Tribolium castaneum: one gene and its partner. The protein of the gene in region 2 interacts with the protein of the main gene of each other region in a pairwise test. Links are inferred from orthologs where the notes say so. Each region holds a gene or a part of one and is shown on either strand. Other genes may lie near its edges.

Region 1 (3,358 bases), on a different chromosome or scaffold from region 2:
CAATACTATCACGCGGACTCTCATTTTACCCCAAATTAAATCATCAAGTCCATTGTTACAAAATCGTTACATAAATTCCCACTTGCGACTTTACAGCTCTGATAAAAGTAAGGACAAGGGTGGCAAAAAGCCGAATAATCGAGGAAACAAATCCTTTCGGCACAACTACTCTGAGGAGGTTGAGGCTGCAGTCAATCACCAAATTTTATCGGAGCTGAACGCTAGTATGGTCTACCTTTCCATGTTTTGTTACTATGGGCGAACTGACATAGCCTTGCCTGGATGCCAGTCTTACTTTAGGGCAATGTATCAGGAAGAACAAGACCATGCGCTTGAATTTATCCAGTATCAGTTGATGAGGGGGGGCCAGGTCACACTTTTCCCGATTACGGTGCCTGAGGACGGTAATTGGACTGATATAACTATAGCAATAGGGGTCGCCCTTGGTCTGGAGCGGAGGGTTAAAGAAGTGAGTGATGTAAAGTTTGGTTTCATTTGATTTATGCAATTCTAGCAACTGGAGGAGCTCTCGAAACTTGCCGAGTGTCACAACGACAAGCAATTGGTCGATTTGGTGGATTCGAAGTTTATGAAAGAGCAAAACGAGTCAATTTGTGAGCTGGGGCGCCTTCTGACCAAGGCCAAGAGACTGGTGGACACTGGCGGCGTCGGGAGACACCTCTTCGACCAAGAAATTCTCAAATTTGTGGCCAAAAGGCACCCTCATGTTCAACTCCCTTTCGATAATATATAAAAAAAAAACCGGTGGTAATTGACGCTTTATTCATCACTTCGTTAATCACAATAAGTTACATAAGCACTTAAAGTTAAAAAATATTTCAGTGTAAGCGTAACACATGAGATTCTATCAGTCTATCGGTGGTATACATATATTTTTTCTCTGGAAATATTGCAACTCAATGCGTAACATTTAGGGGTGAAACATAAATATTTAAAAATTATTCATCGGCCAAAGTGCGGTCGAACATGTAGACCCCCAGGCCTTCCCCCACGCGCTTCAAGTTGGTCACATGATCTGCGATTTCCTTAATTGCGTCAACTTGTTCTTGCAAGTAATGTGTCTCCAGGAAGTCGCACAGATTCACATCCATGTGACCTGAAGCCGTACTGTGCAGGACCAACAAGCTCTGAAACACAGTATTTCAGCCACAACATGAATCAATATTTTAAATAAATCCCACTTCGTTTACTCGCTTTTCGAGGTCTAGTGCGGCACACATTGCCTCCTGAGCCGTCCCCCAGTCCTGCTTTTCAGGAGCTGGGATGTCCGTGAGGACCAAACGACCGCCCCTTTTATTCAGATATTCCATCAGCTTATGGGCATGGTCGCGCTCCTCGTCCGAACAAGCCTTAAAGTACTTGTACAGGCCGGGAAGAGCCACATCATCCCTTTGGAAATGATAAGCCTGAAAGCGCGAAATTTCAAACGCTCAGCCTTGACCGCCTGAAGTGTTTATTTTTATGGCTGTGCGAAGTTACGCAACAGTAAACAAAATTTCAGGATGGAAATTTACCAGCTTTTTAAATTTTTTAATTGTACAAAATAAATTGTGTTTACGAAAAAAAAAATTCTAATAAATCAATAAGCTTACACAACATGATTTATGAGTGTGTTTATTGCCACTGAACGCAAAAACGCTTACCATCGACAGATACGTGTAAAAGGCATTGAGCTCGACGTTTATTTGCTTATTTATTGCGTCTTCGCAGTCTTTATGAAAATTTTGGCGAACTTGCGATTGAGCCATTTTTCTCGATGTTAGACAACCACTTATACTGGTTTCTTGTCCTTGCGCAACACACGTTGCATTGTGAGTTGCATAGTTCCAAAACAAAATGGAAGATGGTTAGTTCCGGTCTTGACATTTCGAAGAACAAGACCAGTGTTCGAAGAAAACACCGGAGAGCCTTCAAACGTAACTCAAACCGGCGTTCTCGCAGAAAAAGGAGTTTGCTGAGGTACTACAGTGAGTTGCGGGAGTTGCGATTTAAGCGTAAAACGGACGATTTGTGTGCGGACATTACAGTGGTCGATATCACCGACATGGAATGGACGCCGGTTTCGTCGCCGGCCACAGAGGTCGCTGAGTGGCACAAACAGGAGCAAATTGCTTATTGGAAATCGCGCGCTTTGAGTTTCGAATATGAGAATAAAATGTTGATTAGACACCTTCGTAATGTTTATGCGAAGCAAACGGAGGATTATGCAAATTATGTGAAGGAGCAAGGACAAATTGAAGATAAGGATTCGGAAACGAGGCCTATTTTACCTACTGAGCCAGTTGGGAAAAAAAGGCGGGAAGAAATGGATAAGTTATATGGGAAAAAGGCATCAAAGATAATGGGGATGGAGACGGCCGTTCAGTTGAATTACGACCTACATTTGGAGGACGCTGGCAAGCTGGCGCATTGGCCCCACACGCCTTTAAATCTAAGATTTGATAATTAGTTATGCTAATAAAGTTTGGTATTAATTTTGTATTTGTTGGTTTTATTGAAGGAGCCAAGCCTAATGAAATTACGAATTATTTTCAATTTAATTTCTAATGAGTTCTTGGCCTCTGGCAACGCACACAGCGTTGGAGTATTAGAAGTTGCATACCAGACGAGAGCTGTCATGCGTTGAATTATCACAACACATAAACAGAGACATAAATGTCAAAAGATTCGTAAAAATGGTGATATTAAGGTTGTGGACGATTTTTTTTGTGTTTTTCAAATTTGTTTTTAAAAGTAATGGGGCCACGCATTGGGTTGTCACCGAAAAGGGCATGATTCAGTCACATGTAAGTTGCGAAATTGGCCTTAATGGGAATTTTAGGTTATGTTGCGATTGTTTTTCTGCTTTTATTCATCTTTTTTTGGCAATAATTCACAGGTATTAATGTGAAATCGTGTGTTTTATCGATACATTTTGAACCAAATGACTTGGATTTGCCTAAAATAAACAAATCCCGTATTTCCTTTTACTTGCAAAAACTGTGCACAACTGTGTGATAAATATCTTGATAAAAAATTATATCAAAAGTAAATACGATATTGCACGTTATTCTAGATCAGTTTTTTGCTAGTGCGTTAGACGTAACAGTTTCGAAAGGATACTGTTGTCCACGTGCTTGAACAGTTCACATAACCAAACTATTAGTTTATTAGAATTTATGTAAAGTGTAAACATGATAAGCGATAACAAAAAATTAACAATTACAAATCAGTTTTGTAGATGATTTTTCCACCCGTTTATTTGTAAAAAATTTTTTTTTGTTAAGATTTTATTTTTTACTATAAGTAAAATCCTAAATCTTAAATAAGTTATCTATAATTTGTTACCTAATATAAT
Region 2 (3,988 bases):
CGACTTCCACACGGGGAAGTACTGCTCGGTGCCCGAGTCGAAAAACTTGTCTTTGAGGTGCTTGTACGTGACAATTCGAGTACCTGAGTAGAACAAGTGGCGGTACAAGGCGGCGTACGCCCCCTGCCACAGCTTCAGAAACCCCTCCTCGGAGACGATCCCCACGGCGGTGCGGAACAGCCCCCGGTACGGGGCCTTGACCATGCTCGCATCTTTGGTGTTGGCGACCTCACCCTGTATTTGCAGCCGCGTTTTGGCCAAATCTAACGGGTAAGTCACTGCAACGAGAGTCAAGGTCAGGTGATGAATAAATCAAAACTAACTTAAACGAAAGACTCGACAAACGCCAAGTTATTCTATAAATAAAGCGCGATTTTTTGAGGGAATACAAGGTGGCAAAAGTTACTTAATTTCTATTTTTACCTAACTCCGCATTCCACGCTCCGACCACCGATACCATGTACATGCACCATAGCGAGTCCACGTACTTGTGCTCCTTCGGGGGCGGAATCTGCGGCATCTTCACCAAAAAGCCTGAAATCACGGTCTTATAAGATTCCCATAGGGCAAAGTTCGAAACTCCCGCGGGGGCAATGTGCACGTAGCGTGACCGATAAAGACACAATAAGCCTTCATTCCTACTTTCTGCGTGATAAAGCGGAATGGAAATTGCAAAATTAATGAAAAAAAGGGCAATTAAAATTCAAAAAATTGTTGTGACGACTTGACAACACCGCACTATTAACCTGCAACCAACTTGTTGTCACTTTGACACATTGACACCACTTGGGGCCAGTTAATGGCAAACTCACCATTTATTTGTTTGGTGGAACTTCCGTAACTTCATTAGTTAAGTAAATAACGAACAGTTATAGATAACAATTGTCACGGCAGTGCTTTTGGGACTACATTGTTGGTGACGTGTGAGTGGTGTTGGTAGAATTTGATTCAAGTGACAGACGATTACTGCGCCCCTGGCGAAAAGTAGTTCCGGATTATTTCACCTTTTTTTTGTTATTTCCGTACCCAGTATCGAATTCTTTCCGGATTATCGTCTTTTGCGCCTGATTACTTGTCCAAAGCCGGCGAGTTTGTTGTGTTTGCGCGATAAGAGCGATTGGCTGTGATAAGATAGTGTTCCTCCGCCATGATTGTCCTCCAGTGTTGAATTTCATCAGTGACAGAAGGGAGGGTTCTCGTAAGGTTCGCGTAAAAACCCAACAAAAACACCAAATAAAGTGATTATCTTCCAAAGAAATGTGTTATTCGTTAGATTACAAAGCGGATGCTTAGTGCTAGTTGGAGGAAGCCAATGTATTGACATTGCCGGTGCTATTTGAACTTTTTTGGAGTCAGCTCTTGTGCTTTTATTTGTGATAAGACGAACTTGAACAATGGAAGCAATAGCGAAGCACGAATTCAACGCAACGGCCGACGATGAGCTTAGTTTTCGTAGATCTCAAGTCCTAAAGGTACTTCCCCGAAATTGTGGCTTGCCCTAAAACCATTTTTCCAGATACTGAATATGGAAGACGACATGAACTGGTACAGAGCTGAACTGGACGGCAGAGAAGGCCTAATTCCTAGTAATTACATAGAAATGAAGAACCACAGGTAAATACACCTTGAGGGGTCACATGATAATAACACAATTCTCTTGAACAGTTGGTACTACGGTAGAATCACAAGAGCTGACGCCGAAAAACTGCTCTCAAACAAGCACGAAGGGGCCTTTCTCATACGTATTAGTGAATCCAGTCCAGGAGATTTTTCTCTATCTGTCAAGTAAACACACTTTTTAGCCCCCAAAATTATAAATAACCCCCATTATCGCAGGTGTTCTGACGGCGTGCAACATTTCAAGGTGCTAAGGGACGCCCAAGGCAAATTTTTTCTCTGGGTAGTCAAATTCAATTCGTTAAATGAATTAGTAGAATACCATCGCACGTCGTCCGTGTCCCGGTCACAAGACGTCAAGCTGAAGGACATGGTGGCCGAAGAGGTGCGGAATCGTATTGTCTTTATTTTCAGAACAATTGTCAGTGTAGTCATGTTGGTATAAGCATTATCACCCTGTAGTTATTTGATATATAGTCTGGTCTACGGAGGACTATAAGTTAGGATACTAAATCGCAGGATTTCCTGAACCCAAAAAAATTGTACGGTAGACTTAAATGAGGGCGCTTCAAGCACCAAATCGTTTTAAATTAATTTAAATTCAACCAATTCACTAATAACTCGGAAAAAATGCAGTAATGTTGAGTTTGCATTCTCATCAGACTGAGGAAAACTGTCGACTAAAGTTTTTATGAAAAACATGAGGAAAAAATTATTTAAAATTTGCGATGATTTTTTGTGGGAGTTTTGACCTTGACAATTGTTTTGGAGAATAAATGGATGTAGAAATGGGCAAATTGTGACGTTCCTGTTGCAGTGCTTGGTGCAGGCCTTATACGACTTTACTCCACAAGAAGCCGGCGAGCTAGAGTTCCGAAGGGGCGACGTAATAACGGTGACGGACCGCTCAGATCAGCACTGGTGGCATGGCGAGATCGGACACCGTCGCGGCCTATTCCCCGCTACTTACGTGACGCCTTACCACACATAATATTTTTCCCTTAATTATTATTTTCTCAAAGGCATTATTTCACCACCACTCTTGGAAAAACCTGCGCAACTGTGGGCGATTTTTTACTTGGTTTTTAATTTATGTGATTTTGTAATAATCGTTTAGATGATTTTATTAATTGCTCATTGTTTTTGGAAAATCTCTTAATGTAGTTTTAAGATCAAATATTTTTATATTGGATCAATTGTACTGAAAAACGTGAAATTTATTAATCTTCTTCAGTTCAGTAGGTTATGGAATATAATATAATGTTTAATTTTTTAGGTAGAGTGTATGACAGGTTGCTTACATTTTACTCTGTTCAGATATGCAACGAAATTAACCAGTTAGGAGCAAGTGGAGCTAGTTTCCGTCGAAGATTTAATATTTAAATCCAATTTCCTATAAGATAGTGCACACAATATCGTATTTTTAGCAAATCAGATGCCATTTTTTGTATTTCTTTAAGTTATGGAGATTCGTGAGTTTATTTCAAAAGATTTTTATTTGTATATAATGCGTTAGAGATTATGCCAGAATTTTATTCAACACTCATTCGTTTGGCATTCTCTTGCTTTGACTTTTAGACTTTGTATGTAAATACTAACATAGTTTTATTATTACAATATTGCATTATTATAATAGGCGAGTATAAGTAAATATATGTTATATAAATAACAGCCGTTTTATTGCTTTCCTCTAACTCCAAATAAATACTCCAATTTTCTGACCTGCCCAACTTTCCTTAGAAATTCCATAAAATTAGAAAAAGTATTATGATATAATTTTACTCAGATGAATTTCACTCGTTGAACATTGATTTAACATTTTGGAAGTCTGAAAATTACTGCTTTTCTCGAAAACAAAAAAGGAAATTCAAATTTCGCACCACAATTTCACTTGGTGAAAAAGTGGCGATAGCCAACATCACGGCACTAAAGTTCCTTTTCCACGAAGGAATCGAATCCCAGTGGCATCTTTCAACGTAAGTCCCTCTAATTTCGAAAAATCTGACCCATCATCAACGATCCCGCCCTTAAAACCCCTTTAAACGTTCAATAAGCCCCATTGCCACACAATCCTGTGCTTATTTTCCCAAATTCGGTCAAAAATCACCGAAACACCGCCATAACCTAACTCTTTCACGCATCTTCCAGGTTACTCGTAACTCAATTCTAACGTAAGGATGTCGGGAGGTCTGGAAGTTCTCAGCCTCAAAGAGGACGATGTGACCAAAATGTTGGCCGCCGGCACCCATGTGGGCACCACTAACGTAGACTTCCAAATGGAACAATATGTTTACAAGCGGCGCGCTGACGGAATCCACATCATCAATTTGCGCAAAACTTGGGAAAAACTCCTTTTGGCGGCCCGTGCCAT

The links.
Region 1: the proteins of drk (region 2) and soma ferritin interact in a two-hybrid assay, tested with the Caenorhabditis elegans proteins (3 studies listed by BioGRID). The link is inferred for Tribolium castaneum from reciprocal best matches to the Caenorhabditis elegans genes sem-5 and ftn-2.

What each region holds. Positions count from the first base shown.
Region 1 is NC_087402.1:7,242,941-7,246,298, forward strand, and holds soma ferritin, read right to left. Parts: upstream 1,800-3,358; 5' UTR 1,770-1,799; coding exon 1,665-1,769; intron 1,428-1,664; coding exon 1,203-1,427; intron 1,149-1,202; coding exon 960-1,148; 3' UTR 767-959; downstream 1-766. Other genes in the region: soma ferritin, read left to right, coding at 1-469, 515-754; gem-associated protein 8, read left to right, coding at 1,865-1,988, 2,049-2,470; tetratricopeptide repeat protein 17, read left to right, coding at 2,697-2,807.
Region 2 is NC_087399.1:3,452,081-3,456,068, reverse strand, and holds drk (growth factor receptor-bound protein 2), read left to right. Parts: upstream 1-1,331; 5' UTR 1,332-1,394; coding exon 1,395-1,472; intron 1,473-1,516; coding exon 1,517-1,614; intron 1,615-1,665; coding exon 1,666-1,785; intron 1,786-1,836; coding exon 1,837-2,002; intron 2,003-2,434; coding exon 2,435-2,608; 3' UTR 2,609-3,286; downstream 3,287-3,988. Other genes in the region: Ucp4A (mitochondrial uncoupling protein 4), read right to left, coding at 1-278, 424-534, 747-777; sta (small ribosomal subunit protein uS2), read left to right, coding at 3,795-3,988.